Callithrix jacchus: one gene and its partners. Each later gene encodes a partner of the first gene's protein in a complex. Links are inferred from orthologs where the notes say so. Each region holds a gene or a part of one and is shown in the gene's direction. Other genes may lie near its edges.

Region 1 (3,500 bases):
TTCTTCTGTTCTGTTAAATATACCTGACCACTAATCATGAGCCACAAAAATGATGGCTAAACTGTAGAATTATAACTAACCAAAAGTGATAGTCTTTCATGTGTTATTTTATCTTATAATTTTCTTATAATATAAAAATTATACTTTTGTATTACATGTTTTAAATAGATTATGTTTAGGCCATAGATTCTATAAACAAATGAATATCAGGTTTAATTTATGGATTAACTTTCTCTTTACCTTCATTTTTCAGCAACTTTGTCTGACTGCTTCAAAATTTGTGGCACATCTTATTAACCAAAATGTGGTAGGTAATTATCCTCAAAACTTTGTCCCATTCAGTGGCATTAGACCACAGGGTTGATGCCACTCCACTGATAACTCTATTTTTGTTTTACTTTATAGTTTTTGGGATAAGTATGTTGGATGATATTTTCATTTTAAAAGTATAATGTATTTCATGTTCTTTAACATAACACTTTGTTGTTAATCAAAGCACTTTTAGCTATTTTATCAAATTAATCTGACTTAATACTGTACATGGTTACTTGACTACAAACCATTCCTTTGAAAAACTATTCCATTTTTATAAAATAATAAAGTTGGTGTCTCCTCCACTTCATTCCCTATACCTGGTATTCATGAGAACCTAATAAATATCTAACATTCTACAAAAGCCTCTATTCTTTGCAACCACATAGGAATAGTCATATATTTTTAGAATCACTTTATAGAATATAGTTGATCAATTTTAATCTGTTTCAAATGCAGACAATTTTATCATGCTATTATTCTATTTGTGTTTATTTTATATTCACACATTATTTGATGGTTTTGATTTAGTTTCTGTTTAACCTTTAAAGTGGTAAAATTGTTCTTGCACTCAGAAGTTTCCTTCAGTTATATATTATCATTTGCAATTTAATATCATGTATAACAGGAAGAATTTTATAGTCACACTTATAACAGGAAGAATTTTTAAGTCACACTTAATCTTATTTCACTAACATTAAATGTTGTGGTTCTTATTTATGTGAAAATTCTTTCACTCTTGAAAATCTTCTCAATTCTAACCTAATTAGTCATTGTATTATTACAATGATAACTTGCTACTTAAGACCATGGAAACTTAATTTCACATCTATAACCACAGAGATATATTTTCATTTTTAATTGTGTATTACGCTTGGACTAGAGATTTTTGGTTTTGTCATAAAACACTCAATATGACAAATTTTTTGCATCTTCCCAACTCTGGTACAGGGCAGTTTTTTTCTTGTCACTGATGTAAGACTGTTTGACACCCCTCCTCCCCTTATAAAAAGAAGCAATGGATGTCTTTGATGTGCACAATTGGAAGAAGATAGACTCCTGAGTTGAGATTTAGACTTCTTTCCTCCCCATTTCAAATCACCATCTGACTTTAGAAAGGCATATGTATGGTGTTGTAAACATCCTTTGTAGTTCTTTTTCTTCTCATACCAAAGTTTCTCAGTAGAATTTTATTCCCACTCTTCCTGCCATTGTTTATAAATGTCAGTTTTTTAATGTGGCCGGTGGAAATAGTTTGATTTATTATTTTTTTTTAAAAGATAGAATATTCCAAACTGTTGTGTTCTGGAAGTTATTAAGATATTTTGTGACAAAATTAGTATTCATGTAAATGAAGGACTCTTTGTGTCTAATAGAGTTGCTGATAGAATGAATTGGGAAATGTATACAAAGAAGTGTACTCATGTAGAAGGGTATTATAAATCATATTACTATTATATAGTAATTATGAAAATAATTCTTATTAGAAAGTAGTATATGATTTTAACATATTTCATCTATGACACTTTCCATACAGAATGGGTCAGAATATTTCTTCTGAAGATAATTCAGATAGTTGTGTTCAGCATAAAAAAATTAAGATTATTGGAACAGTCTGAAAATTTTTAATAGATTGATAATAAAAGTAATAGAAAAATTCTATCCATGTTTGTAGTATTTCTATTTGCTGTATACAACTTTGCCTGTCATATGTGCAATATAATTATTTTAAACAAGATTTACTAATTTTTAGAAATTATAAACAATATTTTAATGTATGTAAAAGCATTTTTTTTCTTTCATATATACGTATTCTATTTAAGGCACACGAAGTTTTGTGCTTAGAGATGCTCACTTTGCTCTTGGAAATACCAACAGATGATAGTGTTGAAGTAGCTATTGGTTTTCTCAAGGAATGTGGCCTCAAATTAACACAAGTGTCACCAAGAGGAATCAATGGTAAGAGTACATTCTTAGTTTGATGTTAAGTTTTTGTTTGAGTATTATAATATTTACTGCTTATTTTATTGTCTTTTCTTTGTTTACCTTTAGCTATATTTGAACGCCTTCGAAATATTCTGCATGAGTCTGAAATTGACAAAAGAGTTCAATATATGATTGAAGTGATGTTTGCTGTACGGAAAGATGGATTCAAGGACCACCCCATTATCCTAGAAGGTCTTGATTTGGTGGAAGAAGATGATCAATTCACCCATATGCTCCCTTTGGAGGATGACTATAATCCGGAAGATGTTCTTAGTAAGTCTGGGGCATGGTAGGTAGAAAGTGGAGCACCAAGAAATGTAAACAGAAAATAAACATTAACTTTTAATTTTTTTTTAAGATGTTTTCAAGATGGATCCTAATTTTATGGAGAATGAAGAGAAGTACAAAGCTATTAAGAAAGGTATGTAGAATTTTATAAAATAATTTCTTTTGGATAAGTAAAAGCAATTTAAGTAGTTACATAATAATGATAGGAAATATTTAGAGATCAGTGATCCCCACCTAATGAAATCTCTGCTCTTGTAAAGTTATTCTCTTAGCTGTTTCCTTGGGCATTTTATTTTTCCTGGTACTTGCCCATGGTTTTTTACTTCATTCTGAATTATTTACCCCATTGTTCCTCTCTTCTTCCCCTCTAAACCCTTAAGTCTCACCCATCTTAAGAAATATTCATAGGTTAGTAGTGACCTTTATTTAACTTCTGTACCACTTACTGTCTTTGCCACCCAGTTTAATATTCAATTAAGTGGTATACTTTCCTGTAAAGTGCTATACTTACATTGTTTCTTAATGTCAGGTTGATATCCTTGTAGTAAGGTGAATCATAGTATTGGTGCCTGATAAATTAATCACTTGCATTTGTACATCATTGCTATATATGGTAAGCGCTAATTTTGGACAGGTTTTGATTTGTAATTTGTCTTTGACATTACTAGCTGAGTGACCTGTAGCAAGTTACTTATTTGATGGAAGACTAAATGTTACCTTTCTATAGAAGGATATATACAATACATTGTTGTGTATTATCACAGACAATGATAGCTGTTATTAATTAATGTTATAATTTTCACATTTGCATTAGTTTCCTCCTAAAGCTGACACTCTGGCCTACTTTCATAATAATTTTATGGGCTTATTTCTCTTGAATTGTAATTTACTGGAGAAGTATTTAATGCTGTGAA
Region 2 (4,119 bases), on another chromosome or scaffold:
TTTTCCATTGTCCAAAATGTTTCAACCCCTACAAATAAGTCATAAAGTCAATTTCCTATGGGCAATGTATTTGTTTCAAAACACCTGGACCTTATAATAGGTGAAGGGGAGAAAGGCAGCAAATCACACTGCCACGTGTGTACCTATGCAACAATCTTGCATGTTCTTCACATGTACCCCAAAACCTAAAATGCAATTTAAAAAATTGCTCTCACTTAATTCACCCAATGCTTTTCAAAGGCAGATACTTTACTGATAAGGAAACACGACAAACAGGTAAGGAGGTCCAAGTTCTCAAGAGCTACAGCCCTCTCTCTGGTACAACGAAATAAAGGGATGGAGAAGGAAACGGATGGCAAGAAGGGACAAAGGGAAAGTTTCCTATAGATTCTATCTTAAGCTGATTGAGGGAGGGCAATCATCAGGAATCCATCCTCACAACAAACCCTTCATCCATTTTTCTGAGCCACCCTCGGAATCGCAGCTGCCAACAGGAGATGCTCCTACAATAAGCAGGAACCAAACTCAAATGTTTGCTGAACGAATGAAGGAACCAGAGTATGTAAAGTGGGAAACTAACTCTCCTGGGAAACCCACACCGTGTTAGGCCCTGGCGTGCCCCCAGGACACCTACAAGGGTGCCACGGGTATGACCTGGCCCACCTCGCTAGGCACCGCAGCAGAGAGACGGCGCTTCCGAGCGGCCCCCAGAGGAGCCCTCGCGGGCATCGCCGCACCTTCACTGGCAGCCCCACCCCAACCTGGGTCGCTCGGGATTCTGCCCGAGCCTAGGCCGGCGCGAGCGTCGACAGCCAGGAACCAGCAGAGAGGCAGGATCAAAGAGCACGGGAGTTGGAGACAAGGGAAAACTGGGGGACAGAGGCAGAAACTCGGATCCGAAAGGGGGGGTCTGTCCATCAGAGCACGCCGGAAGAGTGGCGCTCGAGCTGAGGGCGAGAGCGGGCGGGCCGGGACGCCAAGGCTCACGGCTGCTACGGCAGTTCGCGGGGGTGGCTTGCACCCCGGGGGGCGAGATCGCCGGGGGCGTACATTGGGGCTTACCTAACTCTCCCACCCGCGGAAGGGAAGCGGGGAACTACTGCCTCCTACCATCAGGTACGACGTGCTACCCAGGCCCACCCGCAAGCGCAGGGTTAAGGGGCGGAGATCCAGGGCCGCATAGCCAGTAGCAGAAAGAGAGGGGCGGGCAGATGGGGCAGCCCCGCCTAGACGCTCCCGTTCATTCCTCCCGCGGCCTTCCAAGTTTGGGCTAGACCGGAGCGGCGTGCTTAGAAGCCGGAAGTGGGTTGACGTAGCCCGGAAGGGGAAGCCGTCCGGGTTTTAGTTTTGATGTTTTCGGGCTGCTGTTGCTGCTGCTGCTGCTGCTGTTGCGGCTAGGGGAACCGTCGTGGGGAAGGATGGTCTGCGAAAAATGTGAGTTAAGGGGCTCCTCCTGCGGGAGGAAGAAACTGGGGGAACCTAAATGAACTCTCCCGGGAACTCTGCCTTCTCTTTTGTTTTTTCTTCGCCCACATCTTTGATTCTAGTCGCTGTCCTTCTGCTCTACCCTTTGACCATTTTTGCACCTCCCCAAAGACCATATAGTCCTATAGTATATTTTGTTTTCAGAATGGTCTTAGTTCTGCATCTCCTTGTCTATTTCCATTGCCTTCCCCCAGCTCCAGATCTCATCAGCTCCCCTCCCGTATAAAAATGTTCAGTTAAACCCCAATCACACCTTTCCCTCTTGCAATTCCTGACCTTTCCTTTTTATTCATGTAACACACTAGAACCAAAGACCAAGGACCTCGTCTTACTCATTCCTGTTAGTCATTATGCCAGAATATGGCTTAGAGTAAGCCCAGAAGATGTGTGAATTGAACATCAACGCAAGTGCAAGTTACTATTTCCCTAATTTAACACCTTTAATAAATTCTCAGTGTGCAGAGAACAATGTGGGGATTCTGTATTTGGAGCCTGACGTTCAGGACCCTCCGCAATAAGGCCCCAACTTATTTTTCCAGCTTCATCTTCACTGATCCTTACCCTCTTCACACTTTGACCAAACGTAACTACCCTTTGTGCCCATGTGTACTCGGAGCTTTCCATGCCTTTCCTCAGAATGTGTCCTTTATCAGTCTGCCTTTATCCTCTTTACTCCTTTTTGTTCACAGTCCTATTGCCACATATTCAAATCCTCTCTCTTGCCTTCTCCCCAAACTTTCTTGGATTTCCTTAGCCAGGGTTATATCTTCCTGCATGGAATTTCACCTAGTACTTTAGCTCTCAATTATTACACCGTTTAATTTTTAGCTTATATTTTGGTTGAATGATTCTCAGGTTCTCTCTGAGAATCTGAAGAAAGCTATAGACTCTTGCCAGGAAAGAAAAAAAAAAGATATATAAAAGGTTTGTGTACAATTCTGCCTTGTTCACATATCTCTTAAGATCGACCTGTGGAACATAGATTAAAGATTGCTGTTAAACTACTGTACTATAATCTCTTTAAAATTTTGTCTGATTCATCACTTATTTTTTTCAGTAATTTGTATAGTTTATACATCATAGATGCTTAGTAAATATGTATGGAACAAATAGACTTGCCAGATTTGTTTAAAGTATAAACAAACAGAGAAAGCTTATTATAAGCCATCTTATTATCCTACGGATTTTACTGTGGATCAGTCATTCATTGCCCACAGTTAATACAAGTCTCAGTTCACTGACTGCTCTCCCAGCATTAACAGGCTCCTGCAGTAATAGGACTGTTGATACCATTGTGAACCTTAGGCACAATGTGATGCACTTATGAAATACTAAATTTTAAATTGCTTTTTACTATCTTATTATAACAGGTGAAAAGAAACTTGGTACTGTTATCACTCCAGATACATGGAAAGATGGTGCTAGGAATACCACAGGTATTTCTTCTTTTAGAAAATAGGAATTTAACCAGAGACTCCTGTGAATATTTTATCTTTTACGTTATTTGTAAAATGAAATGTGTTCAAAGTATTTTGTCTATTAAACATGAAAGAATCCTGGGTCCCCAAGTTATTTAATATCTTCTACTTAGTTCTGTTACTTGTACAGGTTCCTAACATCAGGAGATAGCAAAATTATTAAATGATTGTCAAGTGGTGACAGTATCATAATATTTGATTTGATTCAGCTTATTTAGAGACTGCATTTAATTTCTCCGCTCTTCTGAGGAGAAATTTTTTTAAATCTGGTTTTTATATTCTTGAATAAATCCTTTAACCCATTTTACCTTCATTATCATTAATTACTTACAGTGAAGTATTTACCTTCATTATCATTAAATACATAAAGTATGTTTTCGAAGGGAAAGAAAAGAAACATAGACATTCAAGGTCTATGACACTGAAGTAGTGGGTTCTAGATTTTACAGTATATCAAGTAAATATAGACCCATTCCTAAGGTACTACCTTGAGTCTGAAAAATAAAATGATTGTATTTTATACAAATTTTTATTGTTTCTCTAATAAATGTTTTCTTTTTAAGCAGCGTCTTAATAACCTGACTGTTAAATGAAGATTTAAAAATTAGATATAGGCTACTAGTTTGGCAGAAAGTCAGAGAATGAACTTCTTAATGTTATATGTTAAATGTATAGAAGTAACCCTTTAAAATAACTTCTATTTTGATACAGAAAGTGGTGGAAGAAAGCTGAATGAAAATAAAGCTTTGACTTCAAAAAAAGCAAGGTGGGTAAGAGGATCCATAGAGAAGTCATATAATTTTCACTCTTTTAATGTTAAGCCTACTGGAGTGAATTTGATGTGCATCATTCCAATTGCAATAAAACATAGAGTTAGGTGGTTCCTGGCACTCAGAACCAAGCTATTTGTTATAACCTGCTGGTTTTACCTTATTCCTCCTTACTGTATGTCCCCCTCTGACTTCATATTGTACCATACTCCTCCTCATTCATCATATGCCATCCTCATTGGTTCTGCCAAGCCTCCCCCATCCAAAGAGATTTGTCCTTGCTGCTGTGTCCTCGAGGTCTTTACTGAGAGCTTACGTATCTGGCTCCTTGGTGTTTGGGTCTCAGCTGAAGGGTCTTTTCTCGGAGAGGTTTCCCTAATCAGCCT
Region 3 (3,938 bases), on another chromosome or scaffold:
ATATAATCTGCATTATGTATCACTACATCCGTAAATATATATTTTGGCCAAACACCAAAAAGAGCCTTTTGCAACTGTGGAAATTATCCTAACAAATGTGCTGCCAAGTCATGTCATTATACATTTGTCCAAACTCATAGAATATACAACATCAAGAGTAAACCCTAACATAAACTACAAACTTTGAATGATAATGATGTGCCAGTGTAGGTTAATGGTTGTAACAAATGTACCTCTCCGGAGGAGAATGTCATTCAGAGTAGGAGGCTGTTGGAGGGGGAAGGAAGTACAATTACTGACAGTAGGAAGCTGTTGGAGGGGGGAAACCTCTGTACCTTCTACTCAATTTTGCTGTGAACCTAAAACTTCTCTAAAAGTTGTCTATTAAAAAAAATTATCTTAACCTTGGCTTAATTTTTAAGTTTTTGAGGGTAGGTTATTATAATAGCTAACGTTTAATGAGCACTTATCTTTAATCCTAGTGAAACAGATGTTACTATCCTTGTTTTATAGTTGAGGACATTGAGGCTAAGAAAATGTAATTAAGGCACACACAGAATTTAAACATGCTTCTTATCTCAAGACTGAGTTGTTTTCCAGTTACTCTATGTATTTTCATTTTTTTCCTAATATCTGACTTCGAAATATCTTACGTTATTTTTAATTCCAAACCTTAGAGTCAATTATTAGGGCACCTTAGAGTTCATTATTTGGACATAACTATCCAGAAACCAGAAACGAGGGGGCGTGGACCCCACAGACTACAAGCCCTAAAATGAAATGAAGCGCCAGAAAGCCTAAAGGGCGGCAGCTCGCCCCTTGGCATGCTGGGGATGTAGTTTTCTCGCTCTCCCTTCTTCCCCGCCCTCGAGCACCCAGATTGGAGCTTCGTTCCTACTCCCTTGCAGGGCGCCACGGCTCGAAAGAGCCACTAGTCCTCGCCTGGTCATCCCAGTTCCGGAGGCTGACCTGGGGATGCGCCCTTGACGCCCTGAACCGCAGGACCTGCGTCGCTGCCAGGCAGGCCGGCGCTACGAACCTCACTCGCAGCTCCAGGACGCCGCACTCTACGCGCTGCTGCAGGAGTACGCGCAGCCTGGTCACCGTGGAAACGGAGCCGCTCCGTCACGGCGCATGCGAGAGGTCAAAAGTCATCCTAGTGAGTTCCGCTTCCGGTTCCGGGATCTTGTTTGTTGTCAGAAAAGATTCGTGGTTTCGGTGAGCTCTCAGAGTAGATTTCTAGCGTCCGTGCGTGGGGCCAGGTGTCCCGAGGTCCGCTGCTGCAGACATGGCGGCCTCTACTGCGGCCGGGAAACAGCGGATTCCCAAAGTGGCCAAGGTAGGGGATCGCGACGGGCCTTGTGGCAGGTGGCCTAGGAGAGGGGCTTGCCTTAGCCCTGGGGATGCCCCGGGCGGAAGAGAGTGTTCCTACCGGGGAGAAGGCTCACCCTGAGAGATGGAGACGAAGGATCCGCTGGTGGTGGGGCGTGGGCTCTTGTCATAGCGGAGCGCGACCTGCGTTGGCGTGGCCTTCGTTCTGGGGTGTTTGTGCAGTTGGGAGGAGTGGGGTGGATCAGTGAAGACTTATTGCGCCAAGCACTGCACTGGGCGCTGGGGAGCTACGCTCGGACGCGAAGCACAACAATACCCAAAACACGAGCTTGTGTATAAAGACGACCTTGCTAGATGTTGCTGATGCAAAGTAGAATATGCCATGGGCGTGAATAAGTGGGGCGTATGAGGGGGTCCTGAAAGTAAGTTTTGCAGAGGAAATGACCTTTAAGCTGAGACTTGAAGGCGGAATAGGAGTTAGCCCAGCTGACAGCGGAAGGCGAGAGTAGACGGAGTTGTATGGTATCATAAGTTCATTAAAGGGTAGGTTCACTATCTGGTGTTTCCCTCGATAGCTGATACTTACCAAGTGCTTAACATGGGGCAGGCTTTCTCTCAAGCCTTCACAGATACCCTCCCTCAAGTCTTTCTTGAGCCCAGATGACTCTGTTGAACTGGACCTTTACATAACCATTTATCTGACTCGCAGAGGTAATGCATATAGAGCAAGTAACACTGTGTCTGGCACTTAGTGCTTATTAAATATGAGCTATCACCATTATCATCATTACTTCACACGTGGCATTAAGTCTTTTATAATTCAATTACATAAACTTTTATTGGGCATCACTGCTCCAATGGAAATATAATGCACGCCACATATCTCATATCTACATTAAAAAGTAAAAAACAAAAAAGGTGATATTAGTTTTAATCATAGATATTTTATTTGGCCTAATGTATCCAAAATATTATTTCAATATTAATCAGTATAAAAAAATGTAATGAGGTAGTTTATTCTTTTTTTCATACTCCATCTTCAAAACCAGAGTGTATTTTACATCTACAGTCCACCCCATTTTGTACTAACCACATGTGACTCACAGCTACTGTGCTGGGCAGCACAGCTCTAAGCTACATTAGACTGTAAGCTTCTAAGACCTCAGGAAGCTTACAGTCTAATGATGGGAAGTTATTGAATTTTGCCTTGGACTTGAAGTGCCATGAAAAACCAAACTCAATTACCCACCAGGGGCATTAGCTAAGTTGAAGAATTCTGTAAATGCAGGTTGTAATGCTGTTAATAAGATGTGGTACACATCTTGATAAAACAAAACCTCTGGTCAGAATTTTACCTAGACTGCCTCAAAGTTTATTATTATACTCATCTAAAAGAGAAAGCTCGCTATTGTTTTTGCGACCTTTTTCAGTTGAGACTTTTGCCTATGGCTTTGTAGTAGACACCATGAATAACAAGGAAAACATAGTATTTTTTTCTTTTCTGTCTCATGGAGGAATGGGAACATGTCATACAAAGAGGGTATCTTGTGATAATACTAATGAAGTTCACATCCTAAAACAATGTATCCTAAAGGATGTAACATAAAACTGGTTTCTTAAACCCGTGTGAAGAGCATCTGCTAAAAATAGAAATGTTTTCTTTCTTAAAAGGTGAAAAACAAAGCCCCAGCTGAGGTACAGATAACTGCTGAACAGCTCTTAAGAGAGGCTAAAGAAAGAGAACTTGAGCTTCTTCCACCTCCACCTCAACAAAAGATCACAGATGAAGAAGAATTAAATGATTATAAACTAAGGAAAAGGAAGGTCAGTCGGTGTGATATCTTTCAGTCCACTAATTGTTAAGAAAGTATTGGTAGGCTGGGCATGGTGTTGCACGCCTGTAGTCCCAGCTACTTGGGAGGCTTAGGCAGGAGAATCATTTGAACCCGGGAGGTGGTGGTTGCAGTGAGCTGAGAACACGCCACTGCACTCCAGCCTGGTAACAGACCAAGACTCCGTCTCCAAAAAAAAGAATTTCTGTAGGGCAAGATGAGGCTAGTGTTTATAGCACATGAATAATGTACTTCTGGTTACCAGATAACAGCATTTTTCTGAACTATACAAAATATGCTATGAATTGTCTGGTTAAAGTACAAAGAAATTGAATCTGCATAATTTTTGGTGCTGAATCAAACATGGGTGGAAGTTTAGCAGGTGGAACAACTGGAACCAGCAGAGGGTATGCTTAGTAAAACTGCACTGTTGTGTACTTCTGCCTATACCACCTTCTGTGTTAAGAATTGAGATCTGGCTAGGCATGGTGGCTCACACCTGTAATCCCAGGACTTTGTGAGGCCAAAGTCCTGGCCTCAGCGGACAACCTGAGGTCAGGAGTTGGAGACCAGCCTAGTCAACATGGTAGAACCCCATCTCTACCAAAATTACAAAAAAATTTAGCCAGTTATGATGGCAGATGCCTGTAATCCCAGCTACTCAGGAGGCTGAGATATGAGAATCACTGAAACCTGCGAGGCAGAGGCTGCAGTGAGATTAAATCACACCACTGCACTCCAGCCTGCGCGACAGAGAGAGACTTCATCACAAAA
Region 4 (2,917 bases), on another chromosome or scaffold:
CTGTAATCCCAGCACTTTGGGAGGCCAAGGCAGGCAGATCCCCTGATGTCAGGAGTTCAAGACCAGCCTGACCAACATGGAGAAACCCCATCTCTACAAAAAGATAAAATAATAAAAATAAAATAAGATCTTGCAGTAAATTATTAAAGGCTTGCAACAAAAAGTGGAGAATAAAAAAGTTATGGGTGGCCAGGAGCTCACATCTGTAATCCCAGCACTTTGGGAGGTCATGATGGGTGGATCACCTGAGGTCAGGAGTTCGAGACCAGCCTCGCCAACATGATGAAACCCCGTCTCTACTAAAAATACAAACAAAAATAAAAATTAGCCGGGCGTGGTGGCACCCGCCTGTAGTCCCAGCTACTCGGGAGGCTGAGGCAGGAGAACCTCTGGTTTTTTTTTTTCGAAACGAGTTTCGTGACTGTTGCCCAGGCTGGAGTGCAATGGTGCGATCTCGGCTCACCTCCACCTCCACCTCCCGGGTTCAAGCAATTCTCCTGCCTCAGCCTCCCAAATAACTAGGATTACAGGCATGCGCCACCACACCCGGCTGATTTTGTATTTTTAGTAGAGACGGGGTTTCACCATGTTGGTCAGGCTGGTCTTGATCTCCCGACTTCAGGTAATCCGCCCGCCTCGGCCTCGCAAAGTGCTGGATTACAGACTTAAGCCACCTCTTCTAATCTACCTTTCCGGGCCCCGAGTCGCTACTCTGCCCTAAGGCCCACTCTGATCCACCCTAAAACGCTGGTTTTCACTAGAGCAGGATGTGTTTTCTACCAACCTTCGTTTCGCAAGCCTCAGCTTCTAGGCAACCCTAAGAAAGGAGAAGGCCGACCTCGGAGAGAGGGTCCGCAAGCTGATGCCTCCCTGCCCCCCACCCTTTTCGGAAATCAGCCCGTGGAGTCGGCCCCCGCGCCCTCAAGCCCCCTTACCTTGCCGCCGTTAGTGAACTTGTGGATGTACGCAGTAGACAGTCCTGGAATAAGCAAGCACACGCCCATGGCGGCGAGTCCGGGGAGTATCTCGAACCACATCTCTGCCCGGTTACCTAGACCAAAACCCTACTTCTGAGTCCTTGAAAGGTGACGGATCTCCGGCTCTCTTCCCAGTAAGCCCCGCGGCCGCCAGCGAGCGGGGCGGTGCCACGTACGGCTCCGGAGGAAGCGACGGAATCCTCCAGGGCTCAAGAGAGGCTAGCGTTCGCGTTCTCGCAGTCTTCTTCCGCCACAGTCTTTTGCTTTGACTAGCGGCGGAGCGCGCAACGTGGAGTGACGCGCGGAGGCCAAGTGCTACCCAGGCAGCCACGGCCGTTTCGGAGCTCGGGACTCTAAAATGGCCGAGCAGCTTTCTCCAGGAAAAACGGCGGATCAGGTGTGCACCTTCCTTTTCAAAAAGCCTGGGCGGAAAGGGGCTGCTGGACGCAGAAAGCGCCCGGCCTGCGACCCAGAGCCTGGAGAAAGCAGCAGCAGTAGCGACGAAGGCTGCACTGTGATTCGACCGGAAAAGAAGCGGACGACCCACAATCCAATGATACAGAAGACCCGTGACAGTGGTAGACAGAAGGCGGCTTACGGCAACTTGAGCAGCGAGGAGGAGGTGGAAAATGAGCCCGAGAGTCTCGGCGTGGTTTATAAATCCACCCGCTCGGCGAAACCCGTGGGACCAGAGGATATGGGGGCAACAGCCGTCTATGAGCTGGACACAGAGAAAGAGCGCGATGCACAAGCCATCTTTGAGCGCAGCCAGAAGATCCAGGAGGAGCTGAGGGGCAAGGAGGATGACAAGATCTATCGGGGAATCAACAATTATCAGAAATACATGAAGCCCAAGGATACGTCTATGGGCAATGCCTCTTCCGGGATGGTGAGGAAGGGCCCCATCCGAGCGCCCGAGCATCTACGTGCCACCGTGCGCTGGGATTACCAGCCCGACATCTGTAAGGACTACAAAGAGACTGGCTTCTGCGGCTTCGGAGACAGCTGCAAATTCCTCCATGACCGTTCAGATTACAAGCATGGGTGGCAGATCGAACGTGAGCTTGATGAGGGTCGCTATGGTGTCTATGAGGATGAAAACTATGAAGTGGGAAGCGATGATGAGGAAATACCATTCAAATGTTTCATCTGTCGCCAGAGCTTCCAAAACCCAGTTGTCACCAAGTGCAGGCATTATTTCTGCGAGAGATGTGCACTGCAGCATTTCCGTACCACCCCGCGCTGCTTTGTCTGTGACCAGCAGACCTACGGCGTCTTCAATCCAGCGAAAGAATTGATTGCTAAACTAGAGAAGCATCGTGCTACAGGAGAGGGTGGTGCTTCCAACTTCCCAGAAGACCCCGATGAGGATCCAATTCCCATTACTTAGGCTTCCCATAATTCTTAAATTTAAAAAATAAATATTTTGTTCTTTTGGAAGTCTTAATTCGTGTCCTTTTAGAGAAAGTGACAGAAGGCGGGTGGTGAAGTAGGGTCCTGGATTAAAAGCTTCAAGGTAGGTATAATCGGGATTTTTAGCCCTAGAACACTTTGGCATAAATTATAGAGATGGGAGTAGTTTGAGAAAAGAGCTAGAATTTGCTCGAAGTAGCCAAAGCTATGATGAAAGCAAGAACTCTGAGCCTGTTTATTATATCACATTTCTGTATCACGTAATGTTTACCAGGTACTTTCATGCATTCTTTCTCTTAGGAGCCTGTACTACAAAATATATCAGAGCCAAGGTGTGAGGGAGAGGGGTTGGGTTTGGGCGATTGGTAGCTAGTACCACAGACTTCACGTATGGAAAATGTTCCTTGCTGTCTTGGAAGCAGCAATAGTTAACCCCCCTTCTATGGATGATAAAAGTGATCTGTGCTCTGCTATCCAGTGTGATAGACAGACACTAGCCTCATGTGGCTGTTGACCACTTGAAATGT
Region 5 (4,053 bases), on another chromosome or scaffold:
CTTTGGGTCTACTCTCCTTTCCTCTTGGCTAACCTTACAATGAGAACTTCAAATACGCTATCCTTTTGCCCCCATAAGCACACTCAAATTCTTGAGACCATGTGCCTCTATTTTTAATTATGAAAGTAGGGACGCTGTATCTCCACCAGTGGTTACAACTGTGAAACTTCCCTACCACAACGTCCAGAAAGGCGACTGATCTCAGAGCTTCAAGTGATCCTAACTACGTTACGTGTTCCTAACACACCACAGCTGTGTTCCGAGGGTCAGCGACGCCGCGCAAAACCATCATTGTATTAATCTTTCCCGCTTATGGGACGCGGTGGTCAGTCCCCGGGAATCTACCCGGGCTCAGCCAACAATTCTCCGCCTCCCTCTCGCGGCCGGGACGGCAGCAGCGCAGGTAACTGGAAATGACTGGCAAGAAAAACACCTTTTAAAATAACAAAAACAAACGACTTCTCAGGAGATATTCCAACCTGGAATAAGGAATATTTCTAAAAACAATGGTAGAATGTTAGAATGTTTCTAGGCTCAGTTTCACCAAGTGAAAAGACCTGGGATAAGACAAGCCCAGGGCTGCCCAGGACTTGTGGGACGCAAAGACTACTCAGAGGGGCCCTGTCCTCGAGGGACCCTTCGTCTGACCTCTGCGCGCTTCGGCGGCGCCCGAAAGGCAGCAGGCATCCCGCCGCCTCCCAGAGAGGTTTCGGCCTAGTCCGACCCCAGGCTGAACAGCAGGTGGCCGGAGCCGGCACGTTACCTGCAGCAGGTGCAGCTGGGCCACGAGACGCCGCGGCAGGTGGAGGAAGCAGTCGCGAGCGTTGGTGAAGACCACAGTCACTGCCGTCCCGCCTCGCCCAGCATCCGCCAGGAGATCGCTGCCCCACATCGTCCTTACGCGTCGCTCCGGGTTCGCCCCACCCCAGCGCCGCAGCGGACCCGGGACCTGGCAGGCCAAGGGCGTCGGAGCCGGAGGAGATAGATCGGCCCCGCCCCCTCTGACCGCTGCGCCTCTCGTCGCAAGCCTGTATTAGGTGGAACAAGCGAGCTTCTGCCACTCACCGCGCCTCTCCGCGGTGCCGCTCGCGGGGGCGGCAACTCGTTCATCAAATCCTCTCACGCAGGAAACGATGGCCGACGCTGTCGATTCTCCAGCCAATCGTGGGACTCCTTGACTCATCTCGCTCTCTTATTGGGGAAAAGGGAGCTCAGCAGGGCGGATGTTGTCCTCCCTGCGAGGATCAAAGCAGGCAAGATGGCGTCGAGCGGTGGGGAGTTAGGGAATGTATTTGACCACCACGTCCAGCGGGCGGTATGCGACACGCGGGCCAAATATCGGGAGGGACGACGGCCTCGTGCTGTCAAGGTAAAGTGATTTTGGTTTCATTCGCTCTCTTCGGTAGCTTTATATGAGTGCTAGCGCCATATAGCCAGTCTACAGAAATAAGGGCAGGACAAGGCTGCTGTCAGATCCCTCTCTCTTTAGAGCTAGCGTGAAGAACCTTGCTTGGGTCAGTTATCAAAGATTCTCACGATCCTTTTGGTCAACTATTAGAACAGCACCTCCACGAGAGTAAGGCTTGGTTTTAGTCATTGGATCTTCTGTATTTACAGTACTACTTGGCACAAGGTAAGCGCTCAGTGAATACTCGTTGAGTGATTGTTCCCGGTGAATTCTACCGACTCAATTTCTGGAAAAAAATGTCGACTGAAGGTAGTCTGTTATATGCCTTTGTTAGGTACCCTCTCACATGGGCTGTTACTCTTTATGCAGAGGGAATGAGAGACATTTTATTTTGTGTTTGGGTTGAACAGATTATTTCTTGTTTTGAAAGCGCTGTTTAAAAAAAAATAGAGGCAGATTCGTCCTAGGTTTATTTGCGAGATACATTTAACGACTCTGCATTTCTTTCAGGTATATACAATCAATTTGGAATCTCAGTACTTACTAATACAAGGAGTTCCTGCTGTGGGAGCCATGAAAGAATTAGTTGAGCGATTCGCTTTATATGGTCCAATTGAACAGTATAATGCTCTAGATGAATACCCGGCAGAAGACTTTACTGAAGTTTATCTTATTAAATTTGTGAACTTACAAAGTGCAAGGTAATGTGCAAGTTAAGCAGTGACTCATTTTCTCCATTCATATTTCTATCATTTTGGGCCCAAGTTTCCCTCATTCATACCTCATTCAATGTAATCTAGCCTATATTCCACTTATTTTCCTCTAGCCTTTTTAAAGGTATACTTTACTTGAAGCACTGTTCCCATCACATCATTCCCATGCTTAACAATTTAATGTCCTGTGGTGTGGTAGATTAAAAGTTGGGTTTGAAGTTAGGACACGGTGGCTCTCGCCTGTAATCCCACCACTTTGGGAGACTGAGGCAGGCAGATCACTTGATGTCGACAGTTCAAGACCAACCTGGCCAACATGACAGAAACCCCAGCTCTACTAAAAGTACAAAAATTAGCTGGGCGTGGTGGTTGGGACCTGTAGTCCCAGCTACTCAGGTGGCTGAGGCATGGGAATCACTTGAACCTGGGAGGTGGAGGATTGCAGTGAGCCAAGATCATGCCACAGGACTCCAGCTTAGAGTCCAAAAAGGCTGAAGTATGCAATGCCTTATCTATTTTTATGTTATAAAGCGAGGCTCTCAAAAAAAAAAAAAAAAAAAAAAGATGGGTTTGAGGCCAGGCACATGGCTCACACCTATAATCCCAGCACTTTGGGAGGTCGAGATAGGGGGATCACCTGAGGTCAGGAGTTCAAGCCCAGCCTGAGCAACATGGTGAAACCCTGACTCTACTAAATACAAAATTAGCCAAGTGTGGTTGCACAAGCCTGTGCTACTGGGAAGATTGAGGCACAAGGATCACTTGAAACCAGGAAGTGGAGGTTGTGGTGACCTGAGATCACACCACTGCACTCCAGTCTGGGCAAGAGTGAGACTGTCTCAAAAAAAAAAAAAAAAAGTTGAATTTGATCCCAGCACTTTGGAAGACCAAGGTGGACAGATTGCTTGAGCCCAGTTCAAGACCAGACTGGCCAACATGGTGAAACGCTGCCTCTACGAAAAATACAAAAATCAAGCTGAGCATGCCTGTAGTCCCAGCTACTTGGGAGGTTGAGGTGGGAGAATCAGTTGAGCCCAGGAGGCATAGGTTGCAGTGAGTTGTTTATGGGCCACTACACTTTAGCCTGGGGGACAGAGTGAGACACTGTCTCAAAAAAATAAAACAAAAAGTTGGGCTTGGAGTAAGTTTTCCAGTCCAACTGCTTACTAGCTTCATGACCTTGGACAAGTTATTTAACCAGGTTAAACCTGTTTTTCCTCTTCCATAAAATCTATATGCTAAAGGGACCTTCTTGAGGTAGTATGCTGATGAAATGAGATGATCCATATAAAGGGTTTAGCATAGTCCCTCCTGGTCAGAATACAGTAAGCATTAGCTATTGTCACTCCTTTCTGCGAATTGACTCAGTTTTTTCCAGCCTTCTATCTGATATAAGCCCTCTGCTCAAAAAAAGCTGAAGTATGCAATGCCTTATTTGAATCCTTGCTCCTCAAACGAGAGTATGAGCATGGCTAAGTTATATAATGTCCTAGTGCTTCACTTTCATTATACAGTTGTGAGGTATTAATTCAAGGGAAGCACTTATGACATTGCTTGGCATATGATAAAATCTCAACAAGTATTAATATTATCCCTGGATATAGGAGTAGTTAAATTTATTTATTGTAGTACTTGGCATATCATAGATGTTTAGTAAGTATTGACTGAATAACATTTTTATTTTCTCATTGTTATATATTTAGTATTTCCTCAGTTATTGAAGGTATTATGATTATAGTATTTTTCATCTGATTTTTAAGGCATAAATCCCATTACAGAAATACATTGTGCTGAAAAAGCTTAATTGGATATGAACTAACTCTTCAGGGCCACAGAAAAGCTCTATTTTATGACCAGAGTTTACATACCTCAGGCCAACCAGCTGGGTCCTTAGTTGCTTAAAGACTAGGGAACAAATCCAAGAGGTTTAAA

What was found. The genes of interacting proteins can lie anywhere in the genome.
Region 2: CWC22 (region 1) and CRIPT share a complex: the UniProt entries of both Homo sapiens proteins name them as parts of the minor spliceosome. The link is inferred for Callithrix jacchus from reciprocal best matches to the Homo sapiens genes CWC22 and CRIPT.
Region 3: CWC22 (region 1) and CRNKL1 share a complex: the UniProt entries of both Homo sapiens proteins name them as parts of the minor spliceosome. The link is inferred for Callithrix jacchus from reciprocal best matches to the Homo sapiens genes CWC22 and CRNKL1.
Region 4: CWC22 (region 1) and RNF113A share a complex: the UniProt entries of both Homo sapiens proteins name them as parts of the minor spliceosome. The link is inferred for Callithrix jacchus from reciprocal best matches to the Homo sapiens genes CWC22 and RNF113A.
Region 5: CWC22 (region 1) and RBM48 share a complex: the UniProt entries of both Homo sapiens proteins name them as parts of the minor spliceosome. The link is inferred for Callithrix jacchus from reciprocal best matches to the Homo sapiens genes CWC22 and RBM48.

What each region holds. Positions count from the first base shown.
Region 1 is NC_133507.1:49,044,351-49,047,850, forward strand, and holds part of CWC22 (pre-mRNA-splicing factor CWC22 homolog), read left to right. Parts: intron 1-253; coding exon 254-307; intron 308-2,135; coding exon 2,136-2,271; intron 2,272-2,364; coding exon 2,365-2,571; intron 2,572-2,656; coding exon 2,657-2,719; intron 2,720-3,500. UniProt on the Homo sapiens protein: Required for pre-mRNA splicing as component of the spliceosome. As a component of the minor spliceosome, involved in the splicing of U12-type introns in pre-mRNAs. Promotes exon-junction complex (EJC) assembly.
Region 2 is NC_133515.1:68,132,468-68,136,586, reverse strand, and holds the start of CRIPT (cysteine-rich PDZ-binding protein), read left to right. Parts: upstream 1-1,319; 5' UTR 1,320-1,418; coding exon 1,419-1,434; intron 1,435-2,855; coding exon 2,856-2,921; intron 2,922-3,674; coding exon 3,675-3,729; intron 3,730-4,119. Other genes in the region: PIGF (GPI ethanolamine phosphate transferase, stabilizing subunit), read right to left, coding at 664-918. UniProt on the Homo sapiens protein: As a component of the minor spliceosome, involved in the splicing of U12-type introns in pre-mRNAs. Involved in the cytoskeletal anchoring of DLG4 in excitatory synapses.
Region 3 is NC_133506.1:27,036,766-27,040,703, reverse strand, and holds the start of CRNKL1 (crooked neck-like protein 1), read left to right. Parts: upstream 1-1,138; 5' UTR 1,139-1,288; coding exon 1,289-1,339; intron 1,340-3,003; coding exon 3,004-3,156; intron 3,157-3,938. UniProt on the Homo sapiens protein: Involved in pre-mRNA splicing process. As a component of the minor spliceosome, involved in the splicing of U12-type introns in pre-mRNAs.
Region 4 is NC_133524.1:115,851,741-115,854,657, reverse strand, and holds RNF113A (E3 ubiquitin-protein ligase RNF113A), read left to right. Parts: upstream 1-1,234; 5' UTR 1,235-1,335; coding exon 1,336-2,367; 3' UTR 2,368-2,417; downstream 2,418-2,917. Other genes in the region: NDUFA1 (NADH dehydrogenase [ubiquinone] 1 alpha subcomplex subunit 1), read right to left, coding at 936-1,037. UniProt on the Homo sapiens protein: Required for pre-mRNA splicing as component of the spliceosome. As a component of the minor spliceosome, involved in the splicing of U12-type introns in pre-mRNAs. E3 ubiquitin-protein ligase that catalyzes the transfer of ubiquitin onto target proteins.
Region 5 is NC_133512.1:57,090,155-57,094,207, reverse strand, and holds the start of RBM48 (RNA-binding protein 48), read left to right. Parts: upstream 1-1,253; 5' UTR 1,254-1,258; coding exon 1,259-1,369; intron 1,370-1,918; coding exon 1,919-2,109; intron 2,110-4,053. Other genes in the region: peroxisomal ATPase PEX1, read right to left, coding at 764-892. UniProt on the Homo sapiens protein: As a component of the minor spliceosome, involved in the splicing of U12-type introns in pre-mRNAs.